2 linked regions of the Stegostoma tigrinum genome follow. The main gene of each other region encodes a partner of the protein of the gene in region 2 in a complex. Links are inferred from orthologs where the notes say so. Each region holds a gene or a part of one and is shown on either strand. Other genes may lie near its edges.

What was found.
Region 1: the proteins of malt1 (region 2) and bcl10 are in contact, whole or in part, in a cryo-EM structure (PDB 6GK2), measured with the Homo sapiens proteins. The link is inferred for Stegostoma tigrinum from reciprocal best matches to the Homo sapiens genes MALT1 and BCL10. Residues at the interface, in NP_006776.1 of Homo sapiens: Asp46, Gln47, Ala48, Pro49, Trp54, Arg55, Leu74, Glu75, Ser78, Leu79, Val81, Leu82, Glu83, Pro84, Glu85, Gly86, Pro88; in NP_003912.1 of Homo sapiens: Leu13, Lys17, Val83, Arg87, Asn93, Gln97, Thr100, Leu104, Arg107, Asn108, Leu111.

Annotation. Positions count from the first base shown.
Region 1 is NC_081361.1:99,959,934-99,963,849, forward strand, and holds the start of bcl10 (B-cell lymphoma/leukemia 10), read right to left. Parts: upstream 2,542-3,916; 5' UTR 2,278-2,541; coding exon 2,227-2,277; intron 1-2,226. UniProt on the Homo sapiens protein: Plays a key role in both adaptive and innate immune signaling by bridging CARD domain-containing proteins to immune activation.
Region 2 is NC_081354.1:151,657,696-151,661,611, forward strand, and holds the start of malt1 (mucosa-associated lymphoid tissue lymphoma translocation protein 1), read right to left. Parts: upstream 2,634-3,916; 5' UTR 2,206-2,633; coding exon 2,054-2,205; intron 1-2,053. UniProt on the Homo sapiens protein: Protease that enhances BCL10-induced activation: acts via formation of CBM complexes that channel adaptive and innate immune signaling downstream of CARD domain-containing proteins (CARD9, CARD11 and CARD14) to activate NF-kappa-B and MAP kinase p38 pathways which stimulate expression of genes encoding pro-inflammatory cytokines and chemokines.

The sequences.
Region 1 (3,916 bases), on a different chromosome or scaffold from region 2:
ATTAAACACAACACAGTTAAAAATGTCAAATTTTCTATTTGCAAATGGCATGCATAATTTTAAAATACATTCTCGATTTTAAAGTTCTCTTCTCGATTATCATCTTGCAGGGAGGGGTCTTTCACAGCCAGTGTTAACTCCAATTTCTGCATACAGTGTCAATGTGCCTCTAACCCACAGACACCCAGGCTAGTTTAATTCAAGAGCTAAAAGATCTGACGCTGCTGAACATCATGTGACACTTCCAAAAAAAACTGTTTCCAAGAAACATTACTGCAAAATAAAATAAAGCTGAAACCCCAGTGCAGAAGGAACTTAGTGTCAGCAATTAGACCTTTCGTAACATTGATCAGAGAAAGGTGACACTGAGTTCAGTCACATTGTGGAGTCTCTCTCAGCCCAAAAGCTACACCCTTGCATTGTCCATGTATCAGATACCTCCCAGTTCTCAGCTGGGCCTTTCCCCACTGCCCAGGTGTACCTGTGCCGAGGTGAGCCAATCCACGCTGCTCTAGTTGCACCAGCATTAGTGCCCAGGTGTACATATCCAGGTGTACCCGCTCCCCAGTTACACCGCCCTCAGTGCCCAGGTGTACCTGCTCCCCAGTTACACCGACCTCAGTGCCCAGGTGTACCTGCTCCCCAGTTACACCGACCTCAGTGCCCAGGTGTACCCGCTCCCCAGTTACACCGACCTCAGTGCCCAGGTGTACCCGCTCCCCAGTTACACCGACCTCAGTGCCCAGGTGTACCTGCTCCCCAGTTACACCGACCTCAGTGCCCAGGTGTACCCGCTCCCCAGTTACACCGACTTCAGTGCCCAGGCGTACCTGCGCCCCAGTTACACCGACTTCAGTGCCCAGGCGTACCCGCTCCCCAGTTACACCAACCTCAGTGCCCAGGTGTACCCATGCCCCAGTTACACCAACCTCAGTGCCCAGGTGTACCTGCTCCCCAGTTACACCGACCTCAGTGCCCAGGTGTACCCGCTCCCCAGTTACACCGACCTCAGTGCCCAGGTGTACCCGCTCCCCAGTTACACCGACCTCAGTGCCCAGGCGTACCTGCGCCCCAGTTACACCGACTTCAGTGCCCAGGTGTACCCGCTCCCCAGTTACACCAACCTCAGTGCCCAGGTGTACCCATGCCCCAGTTACACCGACCTCAGTGCCCAGGTGTACCTGCTCCCCAGTTACACCGACCTCAGTGCCCAGGTGTACCCGCTCCCCAGTTACACCGACCTCAGTGCCCAGGTGTACCCGCGCCCCAGTTACACCGACCTCAGTGCCCAGGTGTACCCGCTCCCCAGTTACACCGACCTCAGTGCCCAGGTGTACCTGCTCCCCAGTTACACCAACCTCAGTGCCCAGGTGTACCCATGCCCCAGTTACACCAACCTCAGTGCCCAGGTGTACCTGCTCCCCAGTTACACCGACCTCAGTGCCCAGGTGTACCCGCTCCCCAGTTACACCGACCTCAGTGCCCAGGTGTACCCGCTCCCCAGTTACACCGACCTCAGTGCCCAGGTGTACCCGCTCCCCAGTTACACCGACCTCAGTGCCCAGGTGTACCCGCTCCCCAGTTACACCTACCTCAGTGTCCAGGTGTACCTGCTCCCCAGTTACACCAACCTCAGTGCCCAGGTGTACCCGCTCCCCAGTTACACCGACCTCAGTGCCCAGGTGTACCCGCTCCCCAGTTACACCGACTTCAGTGCCCAGGCGTACCTGCGCCCCAGTTACACCGACTTCAGTGCCCAGGTGTACCCGCTCCCCAGTTACACCAACCTCAGTGCCCAGGTGTACCCATGCCCCAGTTACACCGACCTCAGTGCCCAGGTGTACCCGCTCCCCAGTTACACCGGTCTCAGTGCCCAGGTGTACCCATGCCCCAGTTACACCAACCTCAGTGCCCAGGTGTACCTGCTCCCCAGTTACACCAACCTCAGTGCCCAGGTGTACCCGCGCCCTAGTTACACCGGCCTCAGTGCCCAGGTGTACCCGTGCCCCAGTTACACCGGCCTCAGTGCCCAGGTGTACCCACACTGCAGTGTCCAAGGTACAGCTTCCATCCTGGGCAGAGCAGCTCGGTGCCCCAGTGTGCCCACTAGCCTCAGACCTACTCACTTGTCCTGCCCTGTAAGGGGGCAGGTGAGCACCAGAGACTGGGGCAAAAGAAAACCCGTTCCCCTTTCACATTTCGCTCAAACAGCGGCAACAAACTTACTTCCTTTTTTATTTCAGCCATTTCGTCCTCGGTGAGCTGCGCAGCCTCCATGGGTGTGGGTGCCAGGAGGGGAGCCCTGCAGTTTCTCTGTGCCCGGGTGTGAGGGGGGTGGGGGCTTCCCCTGGGTAGTGCCAATGCCGGGGATCACGGAGCCGGGCCGGAGTTACGTGCAGCAACTTTTACATGTTTGCATTGTTGGACTGTACACTTTCTTCCTGGTTTTCCTTCTGAGCAGACACACACTCTCTGAAGGTTGTAAAGTCTAACCAATTACAACTTCCGTCCCTCCGCTAACACTGACGTAAAGCACGTTTAGCGAAACTCTGACTGAGAGGAATTAGCTATTATGCGGAAGTTCACTGTACCTTCACATTATGGCTGGATAACCCAGCCCCAGCTTTTACTGCAACGTCTCTTTTCGCCCAAAACACTCTCATTGGCTGAAAAAAAATTCCCTTTTCTGCCCTGTTGTAAAATTGGACCTTTAAGTGATTGCGATTAAGAACAGTTGCATTAAAAAGTTTCATATGTGGATATTCAGCCCATCTAATCATCCCTGGGCAAGTCTGCTGGCATTTTACTACCTCTCCTCCAGTGGTCCCCAGCATTACAGAAACCCGTCTTCGATTCACTCCATGTGGTATCAAGAAACGGTTGGAGACACTGGATGCTGCAAAGGCTACAGGCCCTGACAACATTCCGGCAATAATACTGAAGACTTGTGCTCCAGAACTTGCCGCTCCCCTGGCCAAGCTGTCCCTGAACAGCTACAACACGGGTATCTACCTGACAGTGTGGAAACTTGCTCAAGTATGTCCTGTACACAAAAAGCAGGACAAATCCAACCCGGCCAATTACTACCCCATCAGTCTCCTCTCGACCATCAGTAAAGTGATGGAAGGTGTCAGTAACAGAGCTACCAAGCAGCACCTACTCAGTAATAACCTGCACAGTGACACTCAGTTTGGGTTCTGCCAGGGCCACTCAGCTCCTGACCCCATTACAGCCTTGGCTCAAACATGGATAAAAGAGCTGAATCCCAGAGGTGAGGTGAGAGTGACAGCCCCTGACATCAAGGCTGCATTTGACCAAGTGTGGCATCAAGGAGCCCTGGCAAAACTGCAATCAGTGGGTATCAGGGGGCAAACTCTCCGGTGGTTGGGGTCACACCTGACGCAATGTTCAGCACCATTCATGATTCATCAGATACTGAAACAGTCCATGTCCAAACGCAATGAGATCTGGACAATATCCAGACTTGTGTTGACAAGTGGCAAGTGACATTTGCATCATACAAATGCCAGACTAACTCATCACTAATAAGAGACAATCTAACCACTGCCCCTTGACATTCAAGGGTGTTACCCTCACAGAATCCCCCACTATCAGCATCCTGGGTGTAATCATAGACCAGAAGCTCCACAGGACTCACCACATAAACACAGTGGCTACAAGAGCAGGTCAGACGCTAGAAATCTAGCAACAAATAACACAAATCTTGACTCCCCAAAGCCTGCCCACCATCTGCAAGGTGTAAGTCAGGAGTGTGATGGAATACTCCCCACTTGCCTGGATGGGTGCAGCCTCAACAACACTCAAGAAGCTTCACACTATTCAAGACGAACCACATCCACAAGCATCCACTCCCTCCAACCCTCAGTAGCAGCAGTGTGTACTATCTACAAGATGC
Region 2 (3,916 bases):
CTTAATTTTTATCATGTTTATTCTGAGTCATTTTATGAAACACTCATTGAAAGCTCATACAGACAGCAACTATGACATCCATTTTATGATTTATTATTGCCTTACAGCAATCAGTTAACTTAAACAAGCACAGCTGGTCCTCATGGAATGATACAGCAGAGAATAAGCCCTTCAGTCCATCGTACCTGTACTGGTTCTTTGAAAGAGTAATTCAATTGGTCCATATCCCCCTATCCTTTCCCCAGAGCTGTTAATTTGTTTTTCCTTCTTAAAATAATTATCCAATTCCTTTTTGAAAGTTATTCGTGTTCAGTTTACTCCAAACACCATTGCAGTCAATGACTTCAAGATCACAAAACCTTGATGCAAAACCCAGACCAAATGGCCCTCATTGTACCAATTATCTAAATCTCTTTGGAAAACCATCCTGTCTCTTATTGATTTGTCATTTTTTTTAATTATTCACAAATTTTACCTGATATTATTAGTTCTCTGGGCATTAGAACTTAACCCACAATAAGAGGCAAGATACTCAAGTGCTTCTATATCCAGATTCCAACGATTTACAGCTCATGTCTACATTACCATGTCATAAAGATCTGAAAAGTCAAAATCTAAATTTTTACAAAGAAATAAAAGCAGAAATTCCAAGAGAAACTCAGCAGATCTGGCACTATCTGTGGAGAGAACAGAAAGCTAATGTTTTGAGTCCAGTGACCCTTCTTCAGAACAGTATTGAAACATTAAATCTGCTTTCTCCCCACAGATGCTGCAAGACAATGCTGTATTTCTCCAGAAATTTCAGTTTTTGTTTGTTTCAGATCTCCAGGACTCATAGTTCTTTCCTTTTTTTAAACATTAATTTTGATACAAGTTGTTTCTATGGGATTGGAAAATGTCAAACAATCTGAAAATCACATCAACTGCTACGTGAACAGCAAGCTCCCACAAACAGCATGCTGATAAAGATTTGGTAATCAATTTTTGTTACATTTAGGGATAAATATTGGCCAGGATACCAGAGGTGACTCATCTATTCTTCAAGATAGTGACACAGGATACTTTACATCCTCCAAGGGAGCAGAAGGATTTCACTTTCACATCTCATCCAATGGCGACATCTCATAGTGCATTATTTCCCCATGAGGATCCCAGTTTACAAACCTAGTATCTGCTGGGCTCTTCCTGCCCCCAATTAATCATCTGATGGGCAAACAAACATCATCACCTTGAAAACTCTGAAACAAGGTGAGAAAGTTATTCCTGAATAGTTTCTCTTTTCCCAATAAAGAGGGTACATTTTGTCTCTTTTAGGGTGAATGCTACTTTATCGAATCTGAAAGTTTAAAAACTCAGTTTCAGGCTTTGAGAATCTTCAAGAATGGTCACAGATACAGCTTAAGACCCAAAAGTAGGCAGTTTACCAAAATAAAGCAGTGGTAAATGCCTCCCGTGACATAGTTGTTTTGTCCCTACCTCTGATGTAGGAGGCCTGGGTTCAAGTTTTGCCTGCTCCAGAGGTATCCATAGAATTCTTACAGAGTGGAAACAGGCCATTCGGCCCAACAAGTCCACACCGACCCTAGGAAGAGCATCCCACGCCGACCCGAATCCCTAACCTATCCCTGTAACGCCGCATTTCCCATGGCTAACGCATCTCATCTGCACATCCCTGGACATTATGGACAATTTAGCATGGCCAAACTGCACGTCTTTGGACTGTATAAATAACATCTCTAATATTTTGAAAATCTACAAGTAGCTTCCAGACTATGGAGAAAGGTGAAAACAATCAGGCTTCTGGCTCCTGTAAAACATTGACAGGAAACTGCACTCGACAAGTCAGTGTATGATTTGGTTGTGATGCACACCACAGTTGATTATCCTGTAAGACTGAATAACGGATTCGACCAACTTCAGAATGATAAAGAAAATGTGACAATGAGAACTCAATTTAACGCCGCCAAAAGTGAACGATTTACTTATGTTTGGGGCGGGACGTTGGTCTGGAGAACGGGGAGCGATACACACGTACTCTTGTACATATACTTACGTGAGTCTGAAACGCTTGTCAGCTCCCACAATCTCCGCCAGTTTCCTCCATCCCCGGTTGTTGGTCTTGTCCAGCAGATCGCTTATTTTCTTCAGCGTGTGTTCCTTCAGGCTGTTGATGTTTATCGGCGTGACCTGCGTGGACTCTGCCATTGCAGCGAGTCCTGTTTCCCAGTGGTGCTACTGCTGTCATTGAACAATACCAGAGCCTGGGTGACAGCCGTCTGCTCCTCTCTCCGTTCACCCACTCCCCGGGCAGAATCCAGCCAACAAAAACACGACCCCGCTCAACCGTCTAAAGATGACCTCAATCCAACGCCTTTCTAAACAGACATTTTTTTTTCCTTTAAAAGTGAAACGTTGAGATTTCAAACTTCTGGTTTCAAAAGAAATTTGAAGGGATTGTGGTCACACTGTTGCACGTCAAAAGTCAGACTCTCCGTTATAAAGCAGGAGTGCCCCCATCTCTAAAAATTGTCCCCGTTCTGTCTGGGATAACGTGGCGGTACACACAGAAAGAAACACAGTGAAACCCTCCAGTGAATGCACTTTATTCCAATCGTCTACAACACTTCCTGCTACTTTGGCGATAAACTACTGAAGCAGGAAGTAAAGGCACCTACACCCAAAAATGTGCAAAGGCCTCTGGGAAGTGTGGTTCATCGTGCGAAACTGACTCGGAAAAAGAAACGGTCTTCCAACAGAACTTACATTGATTCGGCTCCTTCAGTCACCCAGGCAGTTCCATTGTAACCAAGGTTGCTTGAGAAGGCGACGGGCAGTCACGGAAATAAAACCTTATAGTCCATGGGGTGTATAAGTAACACCTAGACTACGGTTAGGGAATGAGTTCCAATGCTTTGACCCAGCGAGAATGGTGGCACCGCAATATATGTATTCCTCAATCTGGATGGTGTGTGATAACAGCCTCTCGAGTCACGGACGTAAAGTTATAGAGTTGTACAGCATAGAAGCAGACCTTTCGGTCTAACGCGTCCATGCTAACCAGATATGGTAAATTAATCGAGTCCCATTTGCCAGCATTTGGCCCATATCCCTTTTAACCTTTCCTATTTATATACCCATCCATATGCCTTTTAAATGTTGTATTTGTACTAGCCTCCACCACTTCCTCTGTCAGCTCATTCCATATACTGACCACCGTCTGCTGAAAAGGTTGTCCCTTAGGCGCTTTTTAAATCTTTCCCCTCTCACCTTAAACCTATGCCCTCTAGTTCTGGACTCCCCTATCCTGGGGAAATGGCCTTGACTATTCATTCTATCCTCTTGATTTGATAAACCTCTATAAGGTCACCCCTCAGCCTCCAATGGTCCAGGGTCAAAAGCCCCAGCCTATTTAGCTTTGGCCTAAAGCTCAAACCTGCCATCCTGACAACATCCCTGTAAACCACATCAGTGCAGAATTGAAAAGGAACAGCCCGTGATGAGAGTGAGAATGATTAAGTTGTGACAAAGGCACCAGGCAAAGCAAAATGACAACACAACAAATATAGAAACAGAAATTAGGTCCAAGGAGATGGAGAGGATTGCGTTGCTTTTTAGAGGAGCCGGGAAGTCCTTATATATAAAAGGACTTGTCTTAGCCAACAGATCTTAGATCAAAGCTAATGTCACCTCCAAGGAATCACATTGATGTTTAAATAGTCTTCCTGCAAAGGAGGAAAAACAAACAAATGAAATTTTCCTCTTCAATACCAAACACGTAAGCATTTCAGTGTCTAGTGCACTTCCAGCTCAAAAGAGAAACTTCTTGGAAAGTTACTCAAGAAACAAAAACGGATGTTCAGATTCTTGAAGAAACAGAGATCAACACGAGGACACATGAAAACAAAATTCCTCAAAG